3 linked regions of the Xenopus tropicalis genome follow. The protein of the gene in region 2 interacts with the protein of the main gene of each other region in a biochemical or structural test. Links are inferred from orthologs where the notes say so. Each region holds a gene or a part of one and is shown on either strand. Other genes may lie near its edges.

Region 1 (4,064 bases), on a different chromosome or scaffold from region 2:
TCTTTTTCACTCTTTTAAGGAGTTTGGAGCAGAGTTCAGTGAATTCATCATCAGACTCAACCATTAGTGCGCCGTTAAAAGAACAAGGTGACAGGCAAGACTGTCAGGGCATCCAGGGTACCAAATTGGGTGCCTGTGGTCTTCATACTCATTTCACCTCTTCATAGTATTTCCCGGGTATCCAGTGAGTGCTAAAAAGATAGATAAGACAATAAAATTATTTTAGATTTATCAACCTCAATACGGATCAAGGCAAGACTTTTTATAGTGGGAGTAACACCAATACATCATGATCCCCTTTAATTTCAGGGAAACAAAGTATAGTATCCCTGGTTTAAAGCATCCCAGAAATCTAGATTATAGCTGCATGTTTCTTGGCTGATCCACTGTTTACTGAATTAATATATTTAACACTGCATATAAACTTGAAGGCTTCTAACTTTCAGAACAACCATAAATAGGTGTAAGAATGTTGTATAAGGCCTGCAGGCTGAGCCATCATTGGAAGGTCAGTTGTACAGTATGGTACACAATAGGAATAATGTCACAATTAAACAACTATTTGCAAAGTTCTGGCACTAGATGGCAGCATTAGGAGAATTACAAATTCTACAAATAAGAGCAGCATTCAGTTATATTTATTCATTCCCTATATTTATATATAGTGCCAACACAGTTCCACAGCGCTTTACAGACATATAGGTCATTCCAATCAGTATATGTAGCTGACAAAACCCACACCAACACTAGCCAATAATTTAGAAGCGACTGCTCCAACATGCACAGTTGTATTGGTGCTATTTTAGTATAAACAATTATGGTTTACCATATACCATACAGGCCTATAAAATGCTGAGGTCAGTTGAGGCTGCAATACTTCTACTCATTAGGGCTAAAGCATGGGGATCGTATGTTTAACGTTCCGTTGGGCCCTGGAGGAGGCTGGGAGCCAACCCACAAGACCCCGGGCAGCATTGTTAGATGGGAAAGCAGGCCCGCTGTGGCCCTCCAACACTGTCCAATAACAACAAAAATCTTTTAGTATAATAAGGCTATATTAGATAGATATAAGAGATATTTGGCCCATTATATGGAAAATGTTTGAAGAATGGCCTGGGTCCTAAAAGGGCTCCACTGGCACAAATAACTGTAACCTTTAAAGGGGAACTGCGGCTTCTGAACCAACATTTTTTTGAAGAGCCCCACACAACACACCTAATATACCTATCATTGTAATCTGTTCCTTTAAAAGGTATGAATAAATACCATTTTATATGCTGAAATCCAGATGCACAACAGTTTATTTTCTTTCTGCATGACTGAAATCCTGGCAGGGGAGGAGGGACTAAAACATCAACGTTACAAATTGGAACAGCATCCCTACAGTTTACAGACAGCAAGCAGGAACTACATAACCCACAATGCATTGCACTCTGATGTTTCTTCCCTTATTAAAGGAGACATATAGGATAAATGAGAAAAACCCTAATTTTGTAGGCAATTATGAATAATATACGGTGCTGGTTTCCCTTTGGGCTAAACATTAATCCTCTCTGTAACAATGGCCCCTTTATTGGAGCTCCCTATAGATCCTCTGGCTTCTCTGTCCAGTGTGAAATGAAGAGTGGGCATGTCCTAACGGTCCCTGCCAGAAGCACAGTAGGAGGGGGAGAGCCAATCACAGCCCTGCACTCCCACAAGCACAGACAGACTTCAGTTCCCTATCAGGTCAGCCTAGCTGCTGATTGGTTCCTATCCTGCAGTGCAGTGTACGGAGGGCCGCCGGTTCCCCAGCTCATCCAGAGAATTCAGCCAGCAGGAAGTGGAACAGATGGGCGGGGCTAGTGGGGTTTTTGTGGAATTTCTCAATAAATCAGTCTGAAACACAACATTTTTAAGCACAATCCTTCTATATCTAGAGGAGTATAATTCACTGGTACATTCTTAATGTTTATAGGATATGTCTCCTTTAATATAATGTGTGCAATTTGGAGGATGCAGGCTCAGGACAGTCTCAATGTAATCAGCCAGCTGAGCAGAACAAGGGGCCCGGCTTAGGTAACTGTTTAAAACCATATTTTCTAATTGATGTATATTGCAAAGTTGCCTAAAATGATGTTTACTATTCGCAAAGTTGTGTTTGGGTGGAGTTCCCCTTTAATGACTAGAAGGGGCCAATTCACTATCCCATAAAGATGGCACGGTGACAAATGGAATGAAGGGATTCAGAAAAATAAGGGATAGGGGTCATAACACAGAGGGCCCTTGCCCTTTAGCTCCTAACTACACATATTCTAACATAATATATAACACTTATCAGCATTTCTGTTCAGTCACTAACTCTGAGCAGAATTCCCAGCAGTGCAGTAAAGTAACCCCCATGCTACCTGTACCATATTGATCAGCTGTTGCTTAGTTACTGCACTGAGGCAATGCTGACCGTACATAGTGAATGAGCCCCAGTCTCTCTGTCTAGTTACAGTGAAAATAATCCTTGTGTACGAACTAACGTGATTACCCAACCATATAACACATGTCAATCATTCTCATGTCAAAAGCCCTACAGGGCCACCTAGCTGGCTACTGAATGTGCCGCTGCAGGTTACTGGGCCCCATTCCTACAGCGGAGCTGCCAGCCCGCACCCTAAGCAGGATTCCATCATTCATTCACTGCAGCCATAGGGCTCACTCACCTCAGTAACACAGCTTCACACAAGCCGCCCCGGAATTGGCGCGTCATGACGTCAACACGCTTCCGCCCAGCTGTGACCGTGGCACGACGTCTCCACAGTAACAGAAGGAACTACCGGAACTCGGCTGACGCATGAGGCGCCACGCCGGAAGTGTTGGGGATTGTAAATAAAGCGCGTCTATAGTAATGTGTAAAGTTTAGGTTTTAGGCAGCTGTTTGTAGCTCAGCTGAAGCAGTGGCATGAAATAAAAAATAAATATAAATGTTTATTGAAAAGTTGCCTAGAATCACGTTTCCTTTCATATGCAAAAAAAACTCAAAAGACTTTGTGCGGAGTCCCCCCTTTAGCACATACACAGGGTTACCATTATTGTTACAACCAGTGTGGGCTGTCACTGTGCCAATAGGTTAATGTCCCTGCGCCCTCCCTACTCATTCCTAAGGGCGGCCTAACCCCCCCTTAACTCCAACACACTCCTACAGCTGGTGTGTTTTTGGTACAGAAACCCTACTATAGTTTATATAAATACCCCGCTGTGTAGCCCCAGGGGCAGCCATTCCTGCACTGGTACAGCTGGGGTGTTTGCTACAGAAACCCTACTATAGTTTGTATAAATACCCCGCTGTGTAGCCCCGGGGGCAGCCATTCCTGCACTGGTACAGCTGGGGTGTTTGCTACAGAAACCCTACTATAGTTTATATAAATACCCCGCTGTGTAGCCCCGGGGGCAGCCATTCCTGCACTGGTACAGCTGGGGTGTTTGCTACAGAAACCCTACTATAGTTTATATAAATACCCCGCTGTGTAGCCCCAGGGGCAGCCATTCCTGCACTGGTACAGCTGGGGTGTTTGCTACAGAAACCCTACTATAGTTTATATAAATATCCCGCTGTGTAGCCCCAGGGGCAGCCATTCCTGCACTGGTACAGCTGGGGTGTTTGCTACAGAAACCCTACTATAGTTTGTATAAATACCCCGCTGTGTAGCCCCGGGGGCAGCCATTCCTGCACTGGTACAGCTGGGGTGTTTGCTACAGAAACCCTACTATAGTTTATATAAATACCCCGCTGTGTAGCCCCGGGGGCAGCCATTCCTGCACTGGTACAGCTGGGGTGTTTGCTACAGAAACCCTACTATAGTTTGTATAAATACCCCGCTGTGTAGCCCCGGGGGCAGCCATTCCTGCACTGGTACAGCTGGGGTGTTTGCTACAGAAACCCTACTATAGTTTATATAAATACCCCGCTGTGTAGCCCTGAGGGCAGCCATTCCTGCACTGGTACAGCTGGGGTGTTTGCTACAGAAACCCTACTATAGTTTGTATAAATACCCCGCTGTGTAGCCCCGGGGGCAGCCATTCCTGCACTGGTA
Region 2 (4,182 bases):
GGTCTTAACACCTTCCTAAAAGAAGTAAAAAGTGGAATGAGTGCTGGGAAGGGGCATCATGGCACAGAAACACTGGTAACGCTTGTGGTTATTCATCCCGTTGTGAGAAATGAGCTCTTTGCACCCCATTCTAGAGAATACTTTGGCACCAAATGACAAAAGAACTCTAGTTATATTAGATCTGGCCGGGGACCATGCTACATTTGGTAATGTGTTCACAACGCACAAGAAGAAAGATGGGGAGCACAGAAGTTATAAGGCTGCATGTCATTACACAAAATACACCAAATGTTCCCTTTAGAACAACAGTCACTGCTGGGAGCTACAGTTCTGGAATGTTTACTGACTGCACAGGCATTTAACTTACAACTACACTCACAAAAGCTGGTCTAGCCCCTAACCTCATCGTATATATTAGCCTTACAGTACGCTTGCCTGTGTCTCTAGGTCCCCAATTAACAGGTCCCAGTGATTAAGAGAGCAATATCACATTGAGGGCCAGTATGCAGAATAACATGGTACTGCTTCACAGTGTCACAGACCCTGAATCTAAAGACTTAATACAAGTTTAAAAGTTCTCAGAACTTTCTTTCCACTGTGCCTAATGCACCTTACCCTTCCTGCTTCTAACACGTGTTCCTCCATTACCTACACTACTTCCTCAATTCTAAAATTCCTTCCATACTAAGAATTCTCCTTCCTTAGGTCGAAGACACACAGTAGTAGCAGCTACTTGTCACAGCTACTAAAATATTCAATGCCAATCAGTTACTGATAATTCTCTGTTTTCGCAACGCTCCATACTGTCTAAGGCAGGGGATTTTCTGGTGTTTTGTAGCTGTAAAAAATTAGTTGCTGCTAGTAGCTCAGTGTGTCTTCACCCTTATGCCCCTTACTCTGCATGGAATGCCCCCAACATAACCTAGGCTTCTGGCCAGTATTAACTCTATTTAATGGCACTGAGCCCTGCATACCCATTTTCCCACCATTAAGCTCTCCCATAATACTTGCCCTTCTCACTGGCCAGAGGCTACATCTTTTCCCACTCAACATTCTTGAATTCCTCTCTCCCCAAGTTACCTCATTCCCTAAAGTCAATGCCCCCAACATACCTGGGCTCAGGGCCCCCTAAGCTCCCAATTCCCAGCCCCAGTATATGCCCCCAACATACCTGGGCTCAGGGCCCCCTAAGCTCCCAATTCCCAGCCCCAGTATATGCCCCCAACATACCTGGGCTCAGGGCCCCCTAAGCTCCCAATTCACAGCCCCAGTATATGCCCCCAACATACCTGGGCTCAGGGCCCCCTAAGCTCCCAATTCACAGCCCCAGTATATGCCCCCAACATACCTGGGCTCAGGGCCCCCTAAGCTCCCAATTCCCAGTATATGCCCCCAACATACCTGGGCTCAGGGCCCCCTAAGCTCCCAATTCCCAGTATATGCCCCCAACATACCTGGGCTCAGGGCCCCCTAAGCTCCCAATTCCCAGTATATGCCCCCAACATACCTGGGCTCAGGGCCCCCTAAGCTCCCAATTCACAGCCCCAGTATATGCCCCCAACATACCTGGGCTCAGGGCCCCCTAAGCTCCCAATTCCCAGTATATGCCCCCAACATACCTGGGCTCAGGGCCCTCTAAGCTGCCAATTCCCAGCCCCAGTATATTCCCCCCCAACATACCTGGGCTCAGGGCCCCCTAACCTCCCTATTCCCAGCCCCAGTATATGTCCCCAACATACCTAGGCTCAGAGCCCCCTAAACTGCCAATTCCCAGGCCCAGTATATTCCCCCCCCAACATACCTGGGCTCAGGGCCCCCTAACCTCCCAATTCCCAGCCCCAGTATATTCCCCCACAACATACCTGGGCTCAGGCCCCCCTAATATCCCTATTCCCAGTATAGCCAAGGTCGCCCATTCCCATTTACTTCCCATCTCCCAATACTGGCAGTGCCCAACATACCCTTCCCCAGTGCTCCCTGGTTCCTGTCCTCCCTTCCCCAGTGCTCCCTGGCTCCTGTGCTCCCTTCCCCAGTGCTCCCTGGTTCCTGTGCTCCCTGGTTCCTGTGCTCCCTTCCCCAGTGCTCCCTTCCCCAGTGCTCCCTTCCCCAGTGCTCCCTTCCCCAGTGCTCCCTTCCCCAGTGCTCCCTTCCCCAGTGCTCCCTTCCCCAGTGCTCCCTTCCCCAGTGCTCCCTTCCCCAGTGCTCCCTTCCCCAGTGCTCCCTTCCCCTGTGCTCCCTTCCCCTGTGCTCCCTTCCCCTGTGCTCCCTTCCCCTGTGCTCCCTTCCCCTGTGCTCCCTTCCCCTGTGCTCCCTTCCCCTGTGCTCCCTTCCCCTGTGCTCCCTTCCCCAGTGCTCCCTTCCCCAGTGCTCCCTGGTTCCTGTGCTCCCTTCCCCAGTGCTCCCTTCCCCTGTGCTCCCTTCCCCAGTGCTCCCTTCCCCTGTGCTCCCTTCCCCAGTGCTCCCTTCCCCAGTGCTCCCTTCCCCAGTGCTCCCTTCCCCAGTGCTCCCTGGTTCCTGTGCTCCCTTCCCCATAAACCTAGTGGGCCAATGCAGTGCAGCCTCCCATAACCAAGCCCCGCTAGTATGGGCGTCCCTCTCCCGGCTGTCTCCCTACGGGCCCCTCCCGTACCCACAGAGCCCCCGCACAGCCCGCAGGCCGCTGCCCCCTCCCTTTAGCGCCTAGGCCTCTCCCTCCTCCTGCCCCGCACCCACTGCCCCCGGCCCCAAGCCCGCTATGCGACCCTTCCCTCTCCCAGCCCGGAGCAGGACCTTGGGCTTATCGTCCGCCATTGTCAGTTCGCTCCCGGTGCCCGGTACTCTCGCTGCTGCCTCCTCCTCACAAAGAGCCTGAACTGGCGCGGGACGTGGAACGAGAGCGCGCACGTACGGAAAGGAAGATTTGGCGCACTCTCTGCGTGCGCGCCCCCGCCGCTATTTCCACTGTAGGGAAAAGCCCGCCTTGGGGAGCACGTGGCGGCGGGGGCGCGCATGGGGGGAGGGGTCTGACTCTGAGGAGAGTCAGGGTGAGGTTGGGCCGCATTGTACCCGGGATTGGCTAAATCCCTTCCAGTGACTTCATTGGCCTAGTCTCATAGAGGGGGCAGGAGCCATGATAGAAGCTTCCAGAAACAGCCCCCCCTATAATTAAGCCAAAGGAGGAAGCCATACCAGTTGCCATACCAGTTACCTTTTCACTAAAACTTTATTTTGATCAGTCCTGCACTTAAGGGCAAATGCCCATACCTGGTGCCTCTTACCTTCCAGTTTGTGCCTGTATGTTACCCAACCACTTAGATTGTAAGCTCTACGGGGCAGGGACCTCCTTCCTACTGTGTCTCATACCCCATGGCACTTACTCCCTGTGTATTTATACTTATTTATTGAAATTTATTATAACACTTGCCCTACCTGTGGGTAATTGTGTATATTGTAAGATTGTACAGTGCTGCGTATCCTTGTGGCGCTTTATAAATAAAGTTATACATACCAAAAACATAGAGAAGCTAACCATATCCAAAGCTACCAGACAAAACATAAAAATCATATCCAAACCATATCCAAAGTTACCAGACAAAACATAAAAATCATATCCAAACCATATCCAAAGTTACCAGACAAAACATAAAAATCATATCCAAACCATATCCAAAGTTACCAGACAAAACATAAAAATCATATCCAAACCATATCCAAAGTTTCCAGACAAAACATAAAAATCATGGAAGGTGGCTGCCCTTTTAGGGACATAAAATACAGCCATTTCCCAGGGTGGGACTGGACGAGCGGAACGATAGGAGAAAAACCGTCTGTTGAGGTGGTGGACCCCACACACCTCATTCCAACACTGGGATTTACTGTCTTTCTTCCCTATTTACTGTTAATAACACTGACAGCCTTCTGCTCCTCATAGTTACCCCCCCAAAAATGAAAAGGCCTAAAACCCACCCAAAATTGCCTAGGGTACAAGCAGTGCATATTGGGACATGGTTATAAGGGCATTTATTTTCTTTCATTTGGAGTTTGCTTGTAAGGTGGAGATCTGTAAACAACAAAGGGATGACAATACAAATGTCACAAGCAAAAGGGAGAAACCACAGCAAATATTTTAAATAAAGGGGAGAGTAAATTGCATATCAAAATAAATGAGTCATAAGTATTATATGAGATCAGCAGCCATTCTTC
Region 3 (4,276 bases), on a different chromosome or scaffold from region 2:
CACTCAGCCCCCCCGGTACTAACCACTCCAGCCATAGCCCGGTACTAACCACTCAGCCCCCGGTACTAACACACAGCCCCCCCCCCCGGTACTACACTTCAGCCCCCCCCACAGCGGTACTGACACTCAGCCCCCCGGTACTAACACTCAGCCCCCCCCGGTACTCTAACTCACCCCCCCCCGGTCTAAACTCGGCCCCCCCCCCGGTACTACACATCAGCCCCCGGTACTAACACTCAGCCCCCCCGTACTAACACTCAGGCCCCCCCGGTACTTAACACACAGCCCCCCGGTACTAACACACAGCCCCCGGTACTAACACACAGCCCCCCCCGGTACTAAACACTCAGCCCCCGGTACTAACACACAGCCCCCCCGTAGCTACACTCAGCCCCCCCCCCCGTATAACACTCAGCCCCCCCCCCCGGTACTAACACACACCCCCGCGTACTAACACACAAGCCCCCCCGGTACTAACACACAGCCCCCCCCGGTACTAACACACAGCCCCCCCCCGGTACTAACAAATCAGCCCCCCCCCGGTACTAACACTCAGGCCCCTCCCCCCCCGGTACTAAACTCAGCCCCCCCCCGGTAAAACTATAACACTCGCCCCCCCCCCCCGGTATAACCACTCAGCCCCCCCCCGGTACTAACACTCAGCCCCCCCCGGTACTAACACTCAGCCGCCCCCGTACTAACACTCAGCCCCCCCCCCCCCGGGTCTAAACACTCAGCCCCCCCGGTACTTAACACTCAGCCCCCGGTATAACACACAGCCCCCCCCGGTACTATACACTCAGCCCCCCCCGTACTCAACACTCAGGCCCCCCCCGGTACTAACACTCCACCCCCCCCCGGTATAAACACTCAGCCCCCCCCCCCCGGTACTAACACTCAGCCTCCCCCCCGGTACTAAACACAGCCCCCCCCCGGTACTAACACTCAGCCCCCCCCCCCGGTACTAACACTCAGCCCCCCCGGTACTTAACACTCAGCCCCCCCCCCCCCCGGTACTAACACTCGCCCCCCCGGTAAACCTCGCCCCCCGGTACTAACACTTCAGCCGCCCCCCCGGTACTAACACTCAGCCCCCCCCACCCGTACTAACACTCAGCCCCCCCGGTACTAACACTCAGCCCTCCCCGGTACTAACTCAGCCCCCGGTACTAACACTCAGCCCCCCCCGGTACTAACTAACATCAGCCCCCCCCCCCCGGTACTAACGACTCAAGCCCCGGTACTAACACTTCAGCCCCCCCCCCCGGTACTAACACTCAGCCCCCCCCCCCCGGGTACTAACACTCAGCTAACACTCAGCCCCCCGGTACTACACTCAGCCCCCCCCCCGGTACTAACACTCAGCCCCCCCCCGGTACTTTAACACTCAGCCCGCCCCCCGGTACTAACACTCAGCCCCCCCCGGTACTAACACTCAGCCCCCCCCCCGGTACTACGGTATAACACTCAGCCCCCCCCCCCCCGGCCCCCCACTCCATCCTCCCAACCCGGAAACCACCTCCCCCCCCGGTACTAACACTCAGCCCCCCGGTACTAAACATCAGCCCCCCCCGGTACTAACACTCACCCCGGTACTAACCTCAGCCCTCCCCGGTACTAACACTCAGCCCCCCCCCCCCCACTCAGCCGGCCGGTACTAACACTCAGCCCCCCCACCCCCGGTACTAACACTCAGCCCCCTAACACTCAGCCCCCCCCCCCCGGTACTAACACTCAGCCCCCCCCCCGGTCAGCCCCCCCCCCGGTACTACACTCAGCCCCCCCCCCCGGCACACCCTCAGCCCCCCCCGGTACTAACACACAGCCCCCCCGGTACTAACACACAGCCCCCCGGTACTAACACACAGCCCCCCCGGTACTAACACACAGCCCCCCCCGGTACTAACACACAGCCCCCCCCGGTACTAACACAACAGCCCCCCCGGTACTAACACTCAGCCCCCCCGGTACTAACACACAGCCCCCCCGAGGTACTAACACACAGCCCCCCTGCGTACTAACACACAGCCCCCGGGTACTAACACACAGCCCCCCCGGTACTAACACACAGCCCCCCCGGTACTAACACACAGCCCCCCCCGGTAACTAACACACAGCCCCCCGGTACTAACACTCAGCCCCCCCCCCCCGCCGGTACTAACACTCAGCCCCCCCCCCCCCCGGTACTAACACTCAGCCCCCCCCCCCGGTACTAACACTCAGCCCCCCCCCCCGGTACTAACACTCAGCCCCCCCCCCCGGTTACTAACACTCAGCCCCCCGGTACTAACACTCAGCCCCCGGTACTAACACACAGCCCCCCCCCCCCGGTACTAACACTCAGCCCCCCCCCCCCGGTACTAACACTCAGCCCCCCCCCCCGGTACTAACACTCAGCCCCCCCGGTACTAACACTCAGCCCCCCCCGGTACTAACACTCAGCCCCCCCGGTACTAACACACAGCCCCCCCGGTACTAACACACAGCCCCCCCGGTACTAACACTCAGCCCCCCCGGTACTAACACTCAGCCCCCCCGGTACTAACACTCAGCCCCCCCGGTACTAACACTCAGCCCCCCCCCCGGTACTAACACTCAGCCCCCCCGGTGACTCACCCGCTCCCGGTGCCACAGGTTCCCTCCCCGCCGAGATATCAAAATAGAATTTCTACCTACGAAGGATTCAAACCCAAGCGCCGCCCACTGACCTGTCCGCCATTGGCTGCCGTATCACTGCGCGGCCGCGTCCGAACACGCGTGATGTCACTGACACGCATTTGCGTGCCACGCCTCTATTTACAGAACCCATAATAAAAGTTTAGCGGCCCGATAGGGTGTGGGCGGGGCATAGTGACCGGAGGCTGGGAGGGGCTAAAACCAGAAATGTACAATTTGAGCGAGAAAGCTAAGTCTGTTCTAAGGGAACTACAACTCTCAGCACTTTACTAGAGCTTTCCAATTGGTAGCTGATTCTGGGAATTGTAGTTCCGAGCGCTATTACCTGACTGGCCCCTCCCACTGACTGGGGCGGCTTCCTTACATGACGTCATTGCAGGGCGGAGCGGTGCGGGCCAAAAACGCGGGAAATTCGGGGATTCAGGAGGTTGGAGTCCGGGGTCTGTGAGTGTTTCTATGGTAACGGGGTTTGTTTTGCCTTTGCGCAGGGTGAATAGGGTGGGGCTTAGGAAATGGGGTGATGGTGGCAACTAGCGGGCGAGCAGGGGGTTCTGCGCCTGTAGGGTAACATGGGAAATGGTGCAATGATTGTGTTAGTGACACCTACTGGGGATCAGCGGAACTGACTGGCACATTATGGAGTGATTTTGTGTTACAGTGACACCTACTGGGGATCAGGGGAACTGACTGGCACATTATGGAGTGATTTTGTGTTACAGTGACACCTACTGGGGATCAGGGGAACTGACTGGCACATTATGGAGTGATTTTGTGTTACAGTGACACCTACTGGGGATCAGGGGAACTGACTGGCACATTATGGAGTGATTTTGTGTTACAGTGACACCTACTGGGGATCAGGGGAACTGACTGGCTCATTATGGAGTGATTTTGTGTTACAGTGACACCTACTGGGGATCAGGGGAACTGACTGGCACATCATGGAGTGATTTTGTGTTACAGTGACACCTACTGGGGATCAGGGGAACTGACTGGCACATTATGGAGGGATTTTGTGTTACAGTGACACCTACTGGGGATCAGGGGAACTGACTGGCACATTATGGAGGGATTTTGTGTTACAGTGACACCTACTGGGGATCAGGGGAACTGACTGGCACATTATGGAGGGATTTTGTGTTACAGTGACACCTACTGGGGATCAGGGGAACTGACTGGCACATTATGGAGGGATTTTGTGTTACAGTGACACCTACTGGGGATCAGGGGAACTGACTGGCACATTATGGAGTGATTTTGTGTTACAGTGACACCTACTGGGGATCAGGGGAACTGACTGGCTCATTATGGAGTGATTTTGTGTTACAGTGACACCTACTGGGGATCAGGGGAACTGACTGGCTCATTATGGAGTGATTTTGTGTTACAGTGACACCTACTGGGGATCAGGGGAACTGACTGGCTCATTATGGAGTGATTTTGTGTTACAGTGACACCTACTGGGGATCAGGGGAACTGACTGGCACATTATGGAGTGATTTTGTGTTACAGTGACACCTACTGGGGATCAGGGGAACTGACTGGCACATTATGGAATGATTTTGTGTTACAGTGACACCTACTGGGGATCAGCGGAACT

What was found. The genes of interacting proteins can lie anywhere in the genome.
Region 1: the proteins of sumo2 (region 2) and slx4 form a complex in vitro, tested with the Homo sapiens proteins (3 studies listed by BioGRID). The link is inferred for Xenopus tropicalis from reciprocal best matches to the Homo sapiens genes SUMO2 and SLX4.
Region 3: the proteins of sumo2 (region 2) and numa1 form a complex in vitro, tested with the Homo sapiens proteins (2 studies listed by BioGRID). The link is inferred for Xenopus tropicalis from reciprocal best matches to the Homo sapiens genes SUMO2 and NUMA1.

Annotation. Positions count from the first base shown.
Region 1 is NC_030685.2:20,676,116-20,680,179, reverse strand, and holds the start of slx4 (structure-specific endonuclease subunit SLX4), read right to left. Parts: upstream 2,801-4,064; 5' UTR 2,694-2,800; intron 192-2,693; 5' UTR 65-191; coding exon 1-64. UniProt on the Homo sapiens protein: Regulatory subunit that interacts with and increases the activity of different structure-specific endonucleases.
Region 2 is NC_030686.2:44,411,019-44,415,200, reverse strand, and holds the start of sumo2 (small ubiquitin-related modifier 2 precursor), read right to left. Parts: upstream 2,801-4,182; 5' UTR 2,791-2,800; coding exon 2,770-2,790; intron 2,060-2,769; exon of another isoform or gene 1,823-2,059; intron 1,476-1,822; exon of another isoform or gene 618-1,475; intron 16-617; coding exon 1-15. UniProt on the Homo sapiens protein: Ubiquitin-like protein that can be covalently attached to proteins as a monomer or as a lysine-linked polymer.
Region 3 is NC_030678.2:178,840,561-178,844,836, reverse strand, and holds the start of numa1 (nuclear mitotic apparatus protein 1), read right to left. Parts: upstream 2,801-4,276; 5' UTR 2,709-2,800; intron 2,703-2,708; exon of another isoform or gene 2,617-2,702; intron 1-2,616. Other genes in the region: short transient receptor potential channel 2, read left to right, coding at 3,041-3,120. UniProt on the Homo sapiens protein: Microtubule (MT)-binding protein that plays a role in the formation and maintenance of the spindle poles and the alignement and the segregation of chromosomes during mitotic cell division.